2 linked regions of the Mus musculus genome follow. The protein of the gene in region 1 purifies or fractionates together with the protein of each later gene. This does not show direct contact. Links are inferred from orthologs where the notes say so. Each region holds a gene or a part of one and is shown on either strand. Other genes may lie near its edges.

Region 1 (7,206 bases):
CCCACCTCTACAAAAGGGACTGGAGGACAGGAAGCTCACAGTCCCACATTATCTAGAACAAGAATACATGCAATGTGTAACTCTGGATTGCACTCTGGATTCAAAAAACAAATCCTAAGAAACAATTTGCACACCTAAGCGATCCATCCCATATACAATCACCAAACCCAGACACTTTTGTGGATGCCAACAAATGCTTACTGAAAGAAGACTGTTATAGCTGTCTCCAGAGAGGCCCCACCAGTGCCTGACAAATACAGAGGTGGATCCTCGAAGCTTACCATTGGACTGAGCACAGGATCTCCAACGAAGAAGCTAGAGAAAGGACCTAAGGAGCTGAAGGGGTCTGCAGCCCCATAGGAGGAACAACAATATGAACTAACCAGCAACCCCAGAGCTCCCAGGGACTAAACCACCAAAGAAAACACATGGTGGGACTCATGGCTCCAGCTGCATATGTAGCAGAGGATGGCCTAGTCAGTTATCAATGGGAGGAGAGGCCCTTGGTCCTGTGAAGGCTCTATGGCCCAGTGTAGGGGAAGGCCAGGGCCAGGAAGCCAGTGTGGGTGGGTTGGTGAGCAGGGGGAGAGGGAAAGGGGATGGGAATTTTCAGAAGGGAAACCAGGAAAGAGGACAACATTTGGAATGTAAATAAAGCAAATATCTACTGAAAAACAAAAAAACAAAAAATGTGCAAAACATTGGAAAATTAAAAGTTACATGCATCAGTGTCAAAGTTCTCAGGCTACTAAATGCATTGTGGTTACAGTGAATGTCCTTGTTCTTAGGGCTACGATGTCTGTGATGTTCTTTGGCTGTGGGTTCTGAATTAGAGGTAATTTATTACTGTTAACCTTAGGAAATGGAGTAAAGTTTCCTTCTAGTTTGACCTTGAAGAAAAGTGGACCTCACTCCTTGCTGTAAGGAGTAGACTCCTCAAGCTCCACGTTTCTCTCTTTGAAACATATGCAGGCTCCCCTTGCAGGCCATCAAAACATCACTATGGACTTGGGATAACCCGGAAGCAGCACAAGCATGCTGATGCCATGCCATTCCCTGTGACAGGAAAGAAAGACCTTTATTCCTGGCTCAAGCAGTCACAAGAGTAACAGGCTACTCTTAACCTTATTAACACCGGTAAGGATGGCAAAATTCAACCAACCTGACCCCAACAGCTTCTGGGAAATCAGCACAGGAATCATGGGGAAAGAGAGACAAGCAATTTGTTAACAGGTAGCCACTGGCCAAGGCTATTGCCAGTGTGTTGAAATAAAGACTGGTCTTTTGGCCAACAATGAGATCACTAAGGTTCAAGCGTGATCTCCAGAATTAGCATCTTGCTAAGTGTTAAACATGTGCACTGTAGAGCCAGTCTCTGATGCTTCTGAGCTGGGAAGACTTGGGTTAGCCGCCTACGGAGCTCTTCAAGGAGGGCCTTGTGATGGAATCAAAGAGAATACATATGCACACGCAGCACCGACAATAGTGCCGCTACTTAAGAAGCACACAAGTACTGCTTCTAGTACTGTAGTACCCAAAACTGAGCTGTTTGGGACAGGAAAAGGGGGCTTTGGTAATAGAGCTAAGCGCAAATCCAAGGTTCATAAGCAGCCATGAGCAGCAAGTGTAGTCAGTTAAAACGTTCATCAGTCTTCCCTATCTGGCTGCCCCTTGCACCAGGTGTGTTGCCTAGTGGGATTCACATCTTCAACACCCTAGAAGACGCAATCACGGCCCTCCACCCGGATGCAACAGTGTTTGCCTGTGCCACTCCCAGGCTTTAAGTAAAGCCTTGATGGGCACCGCTGCCAAGAGACACAACGTGCTTCGTGCGGACAGCAGCGCTGACTACACAGACAACCGTTTCTACAAGTGGCCCCGATCTTGCTACCTCCACCTCGGATCCTCCTCCTCCTGGTCCACCGGGCAGCACCTGCAACTTCCGAACAAGGCAGGCTGCCCACCGCGTGCAGCACACCCTCCTCGCCTCGAGGCCAGCCGCAGGACCCCCGGCACCGTCCGACCCGGCCCCAGGACTCACCCCTCGTGGCCCGTAGGCCAGGATACCAAGCGAAACCCACCTGCTGTAGGTACTGGTTAATGGTGATGTGCGCCATAGCGGCGGCCGCGGGTGTTGAGTGCCTCACTTCCGGCGCAGGTCCGTTTCCGCTCCTTGTCCCCACACGGTAACCTCTGCACGTTGGTTCCGGAGCGGGTGAAGGTGGAGCGAGCCGAGCCGAGCCGAGCCGAGCCGGTGGTGAGAGCACTTCTTTGGGGGCAGCTGTCAGCGCGGTCGCCGGGACGCCTCGGGTGCGGCGGGGGCGCGCGCGAGGGCGGAGGACTGACGTGGAGGAGTTCCCAACCGACTTGGGAACGTGTCCCTGGTCACGTCGGTGTGCTAGCGACCCGATTCCTCGCACCCCTCTCCCATGAGGGTGACCCGATCCCCAACCCTCCGTGTGCAGAGGCGCTCCTGACTCTCCCGGAACCAAAGTCCAGAGCCCACTGGGAAGGCGTCCCGCGCACTCCTAGGATGTGTTCCTGAGTCCTCCCACATCTCACACTGGGGCACCCCAGATAAATGGGTGCAGAGCATCCCGTCCCCAACCCCTCGGCGCGCTAGCGCACGGAGCAGCATCCCTGAGCATCCTAGGTGTAAGGTGATCCAGGAGGCAAGGTTGCCGGGTGCTTTTATCCACTCAAGTCCTCGCCGGGGTGTCCTCGTCACGGCCCTCGACGTGACGTGGGGCGGCGAGCTCCGGAGCCCTCGGTGCAGGTGTCACGGCGCCCTCTCGCGAGCATTCGTTGTAGAACGCCTGCGAGTCCCCGAGCCCTCCTTGGGCGGAGTTCGCGCATAGGAGGAGGAGCCGGATCGTTCCGGTGCGCGCCGCGGCGGTTGGGCCTCGGGCGCGCGGACCCGGCCGCGAGCAGAAAGAGGAGGAGCCGAGCGCTCACGGGCGGAGCCCGACAGCAGCAGGAGGAGGAGCCGGGCGCGCACGGAGCGGGCGCAGGGCAGGAGGAGGAGCCGGGCGGCGCGGGGCGGGGCGGCGTCCGGCCCAGCCATGGCGGACGAGGGCCCTCGGAAGGGCAGCGTCTCGGCTCTCATGGGCCGCACCAACGGCCTCACCAAGCCCGCGGCGTTGGCCGGTGGCCCCGCCAAGCCGGGGGGCACGGGAGGCTCCAGGAAGCTGGTCATCAAGAACTTCCGAGGTGGGTGCGCTCCGGTGAGGAGCGAACGGGGCGGCCGGCGGGTCGCGCGCTCGGACAGGGCCTCCTGGGGCTGCCCGGCAGGCCCTGTCCCCGCGCCCCGGCCCGCCTGGTTCCCGCACTGTCCCGTCTCGGCGCCGCAACCCGACTTGTCCCTGCACCTCACGCTCCGCCACGTCCCCGCGCCCCAGCTGGCCCCGATCCCGCACCTCCTGGCTAGCCCGGCCGGGCCCTGCCTCGGTGCCCCGGCCTGTGCTGTCCCCGCGCGGCCGTTGACCCTCTCTCCCCCACAGACAGGCCGCGGCTGCCTGACAACTACACTCAGGACACGTGGCGGAAGCTTCACGAAGCGGTCAAGGCCATCCAGAGCAGCACATCCATCAGGTACAACCTGGAGGAGCTGTACCAGGTGAGCGGCGGCGAGGGCCTGCGAGCACCTGGCTGGGTTCCTCCTCCAGCAGCCACCGGGGCCAACGCTAGGGAGGCCCGCCCGTCCGCCCGCCCGCCCGGGGAGAAGCTGCGGCCCGAGCCTTCCCTAGCGGAAGCCGCGAAACCCTGGGTCAGCAGGTGTTTCTATGGATCGCCGCCCTGGATTAGTGCTGTGTGTTGAGGCTTAGACCAGGCTGCTTAGGAGGTGTACGTTTTCCCAGCGCCAGAAGAAAGGAGGTGTTTGGAGCTAAGAGGCACAGAGCCCCCAGCAGTCTTCAGTGTTATCAGAGTGCCAGTGTGTTATACATGGAACTCAGTACGGCCCCACTTGCTAGTAGGGTCCCTGGGTTGTGACACACACACCCCCTCCCCAACACACACACACTGTTTTGTAGTTTAATTATTGCAAATAAGGTTGCAGACAGATTCTGGTAGGGTTTTTGTTTTGTTTTGTTTTGTTTTTTTTTGAGACAGGGTTTCTCTGTGTTGCTCTGGCTGTCCTGGAACTCACTCTGTAGACCAGGCTGGCCTTGAACTCAGAACTCCACCTGCCTCTGCCTCCCGAGTGCTGGGATTAAAGGTGTGCGCCACCACGCCCGGCGATTCTGGTAGTTTTAACTTAAAGACAAGTTGTGTCTGCAACAGGGGGGGAAAATCATCCGAAGTACATTTTGCTGTTTCAAGCACACTTTTCTGTCATGGTTTTATACAATAACTGCTAAATATTCTGTGTTTTAGTTTGTGATAGAACAAATAATTACTTATATGTTACTTAAAAGTTACCTAAGAGGCTTGTTTTATCCTGGTTACAAACTGAGTGTATTGTAAGTTACAGAAAGCACAAGAAGAAAAGTAAGCAGTGGTACCCGAAGGAACCTGTGGCAGGCCCATCACTCCCAACCCCAAACTCCCAAATCCAAAACTTGTAGTGCACTCATGAAAAAAAGACCCACACCTGACTTCCTCTGCTGGGCCTCAGACAGAACACAGTATATGCTAAAACTGTTGAATAAAATGACCATCGAGCTAGGGCCAGCCAGATGACCCAGTAGGTAAAGCGCTGGCAGAGCCAGCTTGACAACTTGTGTTCGAACCTCAGAACCCTCAAAAAGGTGGAAGGAGAAAACTGACTGGAGACGCATCCCCAGACCTCCAGCCTCTTGACGTGACACAAGCACCCACACATACACTTGGTGTACACACACAATGATAAAACAAGGGATATGGGGTACGAGTCAGCTTTGTGTCTGTTTACACTTGATTCTCAGTACCCAGATACATCATTGTGTATGTGCAAGTATTAATCCGGAAGAAAAACATCTGAAATCCACAACACTAGTAGCCCCAAGCATTCTGGGTAAGGGACCACTGGCCGATGGTGACGGATTGGTGTATATGTGTCTGTTCTTTGTCTTAAGTTTGTGAGTTGATTGTGTATTGAAGGAGAGGATTTTATTTAAGGTTTTGTTTTTGTTTTGTTTAGACAGGGCTCACTGTGTAGCCTTGGCTATTCTAGAACTCACTGTGAACAGTCTGACTTACAGAGATCTTCCTGCCTCTGTCTCTTGGTGCTGGAATTAACATTATGCACTACTACACCCGCCTAAAGATTTGCTTTTATTTTTATTATTTTAAGTATGTGCCTATGTGTAGGTGTGCATATGAATACAGTGTTGGGGGCATGTGACATGTGCTCCAGTAGGTTTATTTTGTTTATTTTATTTTTTTATGAGAAGAGAGAGTCGGTTGGTTTTATTTTTTACGAGATTCACTGTGGGGCTGGAGAGATGGCTCAGCAGTTAAGAATGCTCTTACAGAGGTCCTGAGTTCAATTCCCAGCAACTACATGGTGACTCACAACCATCTGTCATGGGATCTGATGCCTCCTTCTGGTATGTGTGAAGACTGGGACAGTGTACCTTATAACTATGGGGAAAAAAAAAGGTCTCACTGGGTATTAGTCCCGGCTGCCGCTCATGTGCCGGGGCTATAGGTTAACTCTAACATACTTGTCCCAGTAGATTTTAATGGCCTAAGATAGAGTTGTTTGCCAGCCGCTCAGTGAAAATGTAGACTGTTTCCCTCCCCGGTAACGAAGGGCTGCCCCGTGAACTCATCCCCTCCCGTTCCCCAGCTGTGGCAGCTGCTGCCGTGTTCTCTCTACTCCTCCACCTCTATCTAGAAGGAGCAGCGCATTTGCAGTCCTCTGGCATCTGGCTCTTATCTAGAATGGCGTTTGCCATTTCCTCTGGTGCTAACAGTTTGGCATTTTGGTTTGTTTGTTTTTGTTTATTAATGTGTTTAGTATTTGAAATAGAATTCCTTCCATCCCTGTCCTCCTCCTTTCCTCTCTCCATGGCCCCTGGACACCCTCTTTGAAATCCCTCCTTTGTGCCCCCAAGTGCATATTACTTTTATTAACAAGTAGAGTGTCTATAGTGCAGTTGGCTTATTCATCAGGTAGTGGCCGTTTGGGTGTCCAGTGGGAACATGACCAGCAGGGCCGCTATGAACGTTGCATACATCATGTGTGGGAATGTGTTTTCATTCTTCTCAGGAAAGTATCTCAGATACAGAAAATGTGTGCTTCCTTTCATAAGAAGCTGCAGCTCTTCCAAGTGACTCCATTTTCCCCACTGCGGTAGCTTGAGGGTCCTTTACTCCACATTCTCACCAGCATTTGGTGCCGTCGAGTTTTACAAACGGGTTTAATTTACCGTCCCTGTTGACGGCAGGTGTCTGTCTGTTTGTGTGCCTGTTGCTCTTCTATACTTTTGATGCAGTTTGCTGCTCAGATCTGCTGGCTCCCTGCCTCCTCCTGCCATCCCCTCTCCCTGCTTCCCTCTTATCTCACTGTGTAGCTTGCTCTGCCTGCAAACTTGGAGTCCTCCTGTGCCAACCTCCCAAGTGCTGGGATTACAGATATGGGCCAGGGTGCTCAGCTTCATCTGCTTAGATTATTTTCCCGTTATTGAATGTGTGAGTTTAGTATGTATTCCGGATATAAGTTCTATATAGGTGTTGCTAGTATTTTCTTCTAGCCCATAGCTTATCCCTTAACTAATCTATGTCCTTTGAAGAACAGTGATTTAAATTTTGAAGTTAAGTGTCTTATCAGCTGTTCTTTTAGGTTATGTTTTTAGTATCCCCCTAAAAAATAAAAACTAAACTTTTGCCATAACTGGTAGTAATAGCACACTTATGTAACCCCAGCACTCAGCAGGCAGAGAAGAGTTCAAGGCCAGCCTCCTCTACTAGCCAGCTCAAGGCCAGCTACATGAAACCCTGTCTCAAAAACAACAAAGCAACAGATCTTTGTCCTAATCTAAGACCTTGTATTTAGACAGAGCTGACAGTTTTACATTTAGATCTGTGATCTATGTTGTGTGGACATCTGTGTGTATGGTGAGATATAAATCTAGATACAGTGTTTTTCCCATAAGTGTCCAGGTGTTGGGCACATTGCCCAACTGCCTTTCTCCGACAAGACCAGTTGTCTGTCTAGGAGGGGTAGCCTCCAGCTTTTTCCCACATTTGTCTGAGCTATTCTTGGTCTTTTGCATTTCTTTA
Region 2 (5,039 bases), on another chromosome or scaffold:
GGACAAGGTTTCATTCCGCAAGTGACAAGGAGTGGCTGCAGAGGGGCTGTGACTATCTACATAACTAACAAGGCCAGCTGGGACTATCTCATAGCTGCTGGTAACTCCAACTCCAGGAGATTCCACGCCCTCTTCTGGGATCCTCACACATATAAATGAGAAGACATTTTAAAATAAGTTTCTATGCCTGGTTCTCACAAAATACCATCCCTTGGAGGAGGCAGTATAAGAAGAAAACTCTGTCTTTATCCCAGGCTAGCTTCTCATTCCTCCTGTGTCACACCCCTGTAATGTTGTGGTTACAACTATATGCTACTACCCCCAGGTTCTCACAAAATATTTTGCTGTTCGTCTAAGACACCTTCTTATAGAAGAGCTACAAACTGAAATCTCAGATGAACAAAAAATGAATTGCAAGAAAGACAACCTCCAACAGCACACCCAAGGCCTGACACCATCTCAGGAACACACTGGGGCTCTTGAAACAAGAGGGGGATTTACTTTATAACTTATTAAAATACATTTCTAGGTGATTCTACAAAATAATGAAAAGCGGGAATGTCAGGTTTGGTATTTCTGTAATTCCAAGCACTTGGAAGCTGAAGCAGGAGAACTGCCAAGAGCCTGGGCCGACAGATGAGTTCTAGGCCAGCCTATGCGTCTGTGAAATCATACCAAGCACCACAATAAAAAACAGTAATGATGATGTAAAGAGAACAAACTAATGAACCATCTGATTAAGTTATCTTAGCCAGACCCCGGAGTACAGGGCTACAATCCCAGATAATGAGGATGACACAAAAGGATCAAAAGTCCCATGGCCAACCTAGCCAACAAAGTAAGACCCTGTTTCAAAATAGAACATGAAAAGGTGGCTGGAAATCTGTCTCCTTAGAACAGTGCTTCTCTAGCATGTGTGAGGCCCTAGCACCACAGAAAGATAAATAAATGCTGCAATGTTTATATATATATATATATATATATATATATATATATATTATTTTAGGGATAACACCACTTAAACATCTATACAGTTGTAATTTCTATTTATTATATGCAAACAAAAATCAGCTCATACAGCCAACAGTCTTGGCTTAAGACATAATCTAATCCAACAGTTCTCAATGTACAGTTTCAGACCAATAGCATCAGTGCTGTAAGATATTATAGAAGGTGGGCTATGGTGGTCAGCATCTTAATCCTACCATTAGGCATGAAGAGGCACAGAGATCTCTGTGAGTTCAAGGCTAGTGTGGTCTACAGAGTAGACAAGCAGGACAACCAGGGCTACACAGGGAGACCCTGTTTTGAAGAACAACATGAAGAAATGTTAAAGATAATATTAAATATAAAGTAAATTTAGACTAAATTAAAAGGTTTACAAGATGAATCAACAGGTAAAGGTGTAGAGGGATTGTAATCCAGTAGCCAACATGGCTACACGCGTTGGAATGCAGACCTGTCCTAAGCACACACCTTTATTTAAACCCAGACAGTGAAGAAATAGTTCCGTTTCTAGAAGGAAGCACCCAGTTTGAAAGTGGTATCTGATTGAGTGGCAGACAAAGTGACAAATCAGAGAAAGATCTGACTGAACAGGATATGCCCAACTCTCAAGCAAACAGAAAGGAAGGCGAACCTACTCAAGGGGCAGGGCAGAGAGAGAACAGGCAGCTTTACCGACAGACACCGTCATAGAGACACAGGCTGCAGAAGAGAACAAGCTAGACTCAGGTGAAGACAGAATGAGAAGGAGCCAGACGATTACGGCATACTGCCAAGTTAGAATGAGGCCAAGCAGAACATTTCAGTCAGAGGCTGAGAAAGAAGCCAGACTGAAGCAGTCAGCTGGGAGCAGAGTTTGAGCCAGAAAAGTTCAGAAAGAACTAGAAAGGGTGAGCTTTTACAGCAGTAAGTCTGACAGGCTAAGAACTTTCTAGGCCTAGACTAGATGGTAAGGAGACCGGAAGCTTCCAGGTGTAGGCCTAGGTTAGCAGATGGAGGTAGTAAGTCTCTGAGAGGACAATTACATCAGGTGAATAAGTGATTTTAACAGAAAGGGGCCTGCTGTCATCCCTGAGAACCTGATTCTGATTGCTATAACCTCCACCCACCCCTGTGTCAGGCACATACATGCATTCGCACTGCTGTTTGGACACACGCAAGCACACGGATACACAAAGTCTTTTCTGTTTATATTAGATGATAAAACAGATTTTGCTGGAGGTCCTTCACTACCTTAGCTTTCAGAGCTTCTAGTTTCAAAATGAGAAGTAGAACAGCTAATGAAGGCTCACCAGGCCTGGTGCACTGTCTTCGTCGCTGCTTTCCGCGTCCACACTGAGAGTCGCTGAATCCGAGGTCCTCTTGGGTCCCAGCCTGGTACTTTCAGTATAAGCATCCACGGATGATTTCAGCAGAAGGGAATCTGCCTTGGAAGATAAGGCCTTCATTTTTGAAGTTAAAACCTTTCTACGAGTCTTCTTCCGATCTTTCTTCTTATGGACCACTGATTTGCTAGAATTATTTACAACCGGGGATTTGGACAACTTAAGTAGGCCTAGCTTGGAATTGCTGAGTGAAAACGGGTAAAGATAAACCTTAGCTGTTTTCCTTAAAGTTGTAATCTGTATCGGTCTCAGAGAAGTATAAGCAATATGTTCATTTTCTTTATATTCATTCACCTATTCGGGAAATAAAGGAAAAGAGTATTAGGAACGCCGGACTATGCTCTTCCATAGCAAAGCATGAAACAAATCTGCTTAAACAAGTCTAACTCCTATTCCACAGTCACATGATTCAAATTGATGGCTTGTTAGGAAATTTTTTGCTCCTCCAAAATTTGGATACAAAAATCTCTAACCTGACCAGAAATTCTGAAGGCAAATTTCAGTGTGAGGTGATTACAACAAAGGTCAGATTCAGGTTAGTTGTAATTGCTTAAAGCTCACACTAACTCTTCAAAACAACTGCAGGGGAGCCAGGAGAAAGGGCCCCAAGTCCTACAATCCTACACTACAGTCTTGGGGTTGGCCTAGAACTCACAATGTAGACCAGTGACATGGTGGCCTCTAACAGATTTCCACCTGTTTCTGCCTTGTGAGTTACGGGATTAAAGGCAAACCTACCATAATTCCTGGAGTTGTTAGTAAATTTTCCTCAAAATTTAAGTACCTAATAGTCTGTTTAAATTTGAAAAAAAAAAAAAAAAAGCAGAAATCACAGCTTTTCCTTGGCGCCAGGTGACAGTGACTAGCAGATCCCTCCCGGGCCGAATCAGGTCTCACCTGCACAAGGGGACACTGTTTGGAGCCTGCCTTTTCCTCAGATTCAGCCTTGGACCCAGACATATTTCTGCCACTCAGCTGCTGAGCTCTTCCCGCTGCGACCAAGGCGAGATTGGGCGGGGCCCGAGGGATGTGGGCGGGCCCGAGGGAGGAGCCTCCGCGGTCAGCACGGAAGAGCTGTGTGGATTCCCTGGGCCATTAAGGCTTCTGGCGCCTGTTTTGTTTTGTGTTCTGGATAGCTCACCCCTCTGCACCTTCTAGGTCTGAACCTGCAGGTCACCTTTCGGGCAGGACTGGCTCACAAGCCAGCTCCAAGGATGCGCCTGTGTCCATCCCCTCAATGCCGGGGCTTTTACCGGTGCTGAGAATTTGATCTCAAGCTTCAAATTTGCGCGGCTACAGCTCTTACCTACCTAGTGAGCCATCTACCCGGCTGTGTTTTGTTTTGTTTAAACCCAGCTACATCTCTCTATGTCACCCTAGCTAGCCCCGTAATCCTACTGCTCTGCTTCCGGAATGAGGGGGTGCAGGATCTAAATCAGCACTTACACTGGATCCTGTAATATTGAGCCTTGTACACCTCGAGATCTTGCTTTTAAAAATACTGCTGTTTTGCAGCATGACCTCTGGAAAAGATCCATATCCTCATAAATATCATAAGGATTGGAAGAAAAATAAGCATAAAAGTCAATAGGCAGAACTTGAAAGAAATAACACAGGTGCTGGCATTAGGACCTGTGTTTGATTCCCAGCACCCAAATTCAAGCACAGGTGATGCAAGACAAGTGGACTTCTGCAGCTCCATGGCCAAACTGACTAACCTGAACACAGAGCCCAGGTCCAACAGACGCTGTCTCAAACACAAGGGAGATGATGCACAGGTTAGGATGCTTGCCACCCAAGCCTAGCATCTTTATCTTACTCCCAGAGCCTCCATAAGGGCCATTTCTCCATTTCTCATTGTTGTCCTCTGATCTTCATATGTGCACCAGAGCACCTCAATAACAATATCAATAAGAATTTTTAAAAGTTAGATAGCTCCTGAGGAAGGACATTCAAGATTGCCCTCTGAACCTCTATGTGCATGTATGTACACAAATGAACTCCCACCACCACCACCACCACCGAGGTGTGCACTCACCCCGAGTGCACACCAACAAGAAACATTCAGCCGTTACTTCTGCCCACTTTCTTGCAATACAACTATGAGAAAATTACGCCTCACCACTGCTATACAGTTTTCAATCATAATAAAGGGAACAGCTAAGCACGGTGAATCCCGCCTGCCTGTCACCCCAGACTTGGGAGGTGGAGGCAGGTGGGCTAGAAATTCAGTCTTCATCATCAGCTATATAGGTAAATCAAGGGAAACCTGTAGTACATGAACTCCAGTCGCCAAGAGAAAGGGAGCACTGAAAGAAAAGAAGGAGGGCGCTGGAGAGATGGCTCAGTGGTTAAGAGCACTGACTGCTCTTCAAAAGGTCCTGAGTTCAAGTCCCAGCAACTACATGGTGGCTCACAACCATCTGTAATGGGATCCGATGCCCTCTTCTGGTATGTGTGACAGCTACAGTGTATTTGTATAAATAACATAAATAAATCTAAGAAGGGAAGAAAAGAAAAGAAAGGAAAAGAGAGAGAGAGAGAGAGAGAGAGAAAGGAAAGTAAGCAGTTCATGTTGCTTGGGTTCTAAGTGCTGAAAAAGCTGGTTTAAGTTGCACATGACTACCTGTCCACCTGCTTCTAAATAAA

The links. The genes of interacting proteins can lie anywhere in the genome.
Region 2: the proteins of Cul4a (region 1) and Wdr76 purify together in Homo sapiens (affinity purification with western blotting; 3 studies listed by BioGRID). This does not show direct contact. The link is inferred for Mus musculus from reciprocal best matches to the Homo sapiens genes CUL4A and WDR76.

Annotation. Positions count from the first base shown.
Region 1 is NC_000074.6:13,102,694-13,109,899, forward strand, and holds the start of Cul4a (cullin-4A), read left to right. Parts: upstream 1-2,929; 5' UTR 2,930-3,062; coding exon 3,063-3,210; intron 3,211-3,500; coding exon 3,501-3,616; intron 3,617-7,206. Other genes in the region: Pcid2 (PCI domain-containing protein 2), read right to left, coding at 2,082-2,117. UniProt on the Homo sapiens protein: Core component of multiple cullin-RING-based E3 ubiquitin-protein ligase complexes which mediate the ubiquitination of target proteins. As a scaffold protein may contribute to catalysis through positioning of the substrate and the ubiquitin-conjugating enzyme.
Region 2 is NC_000068.7:121,508,184-121,513,222, reverse strand, and holds part of Wdr76 (WD repeat-containing protein 76), read right to left. Parts: intron 4,747-5,039; exon of another isoform or gene 3,351-4,746; coding exon of another isoform or gene 3,288-3,350; intron 2,685-3,287; coding exon of another isoform or gene 2,454-2,684; coding exon 2,298-2,453; intron 1-2,297. UniProt on the Homo sapiens protein: Specifically binds 5-hydroxymethylcytosine (5hmC), suggesting that it acts as a specific reader of 5hmC.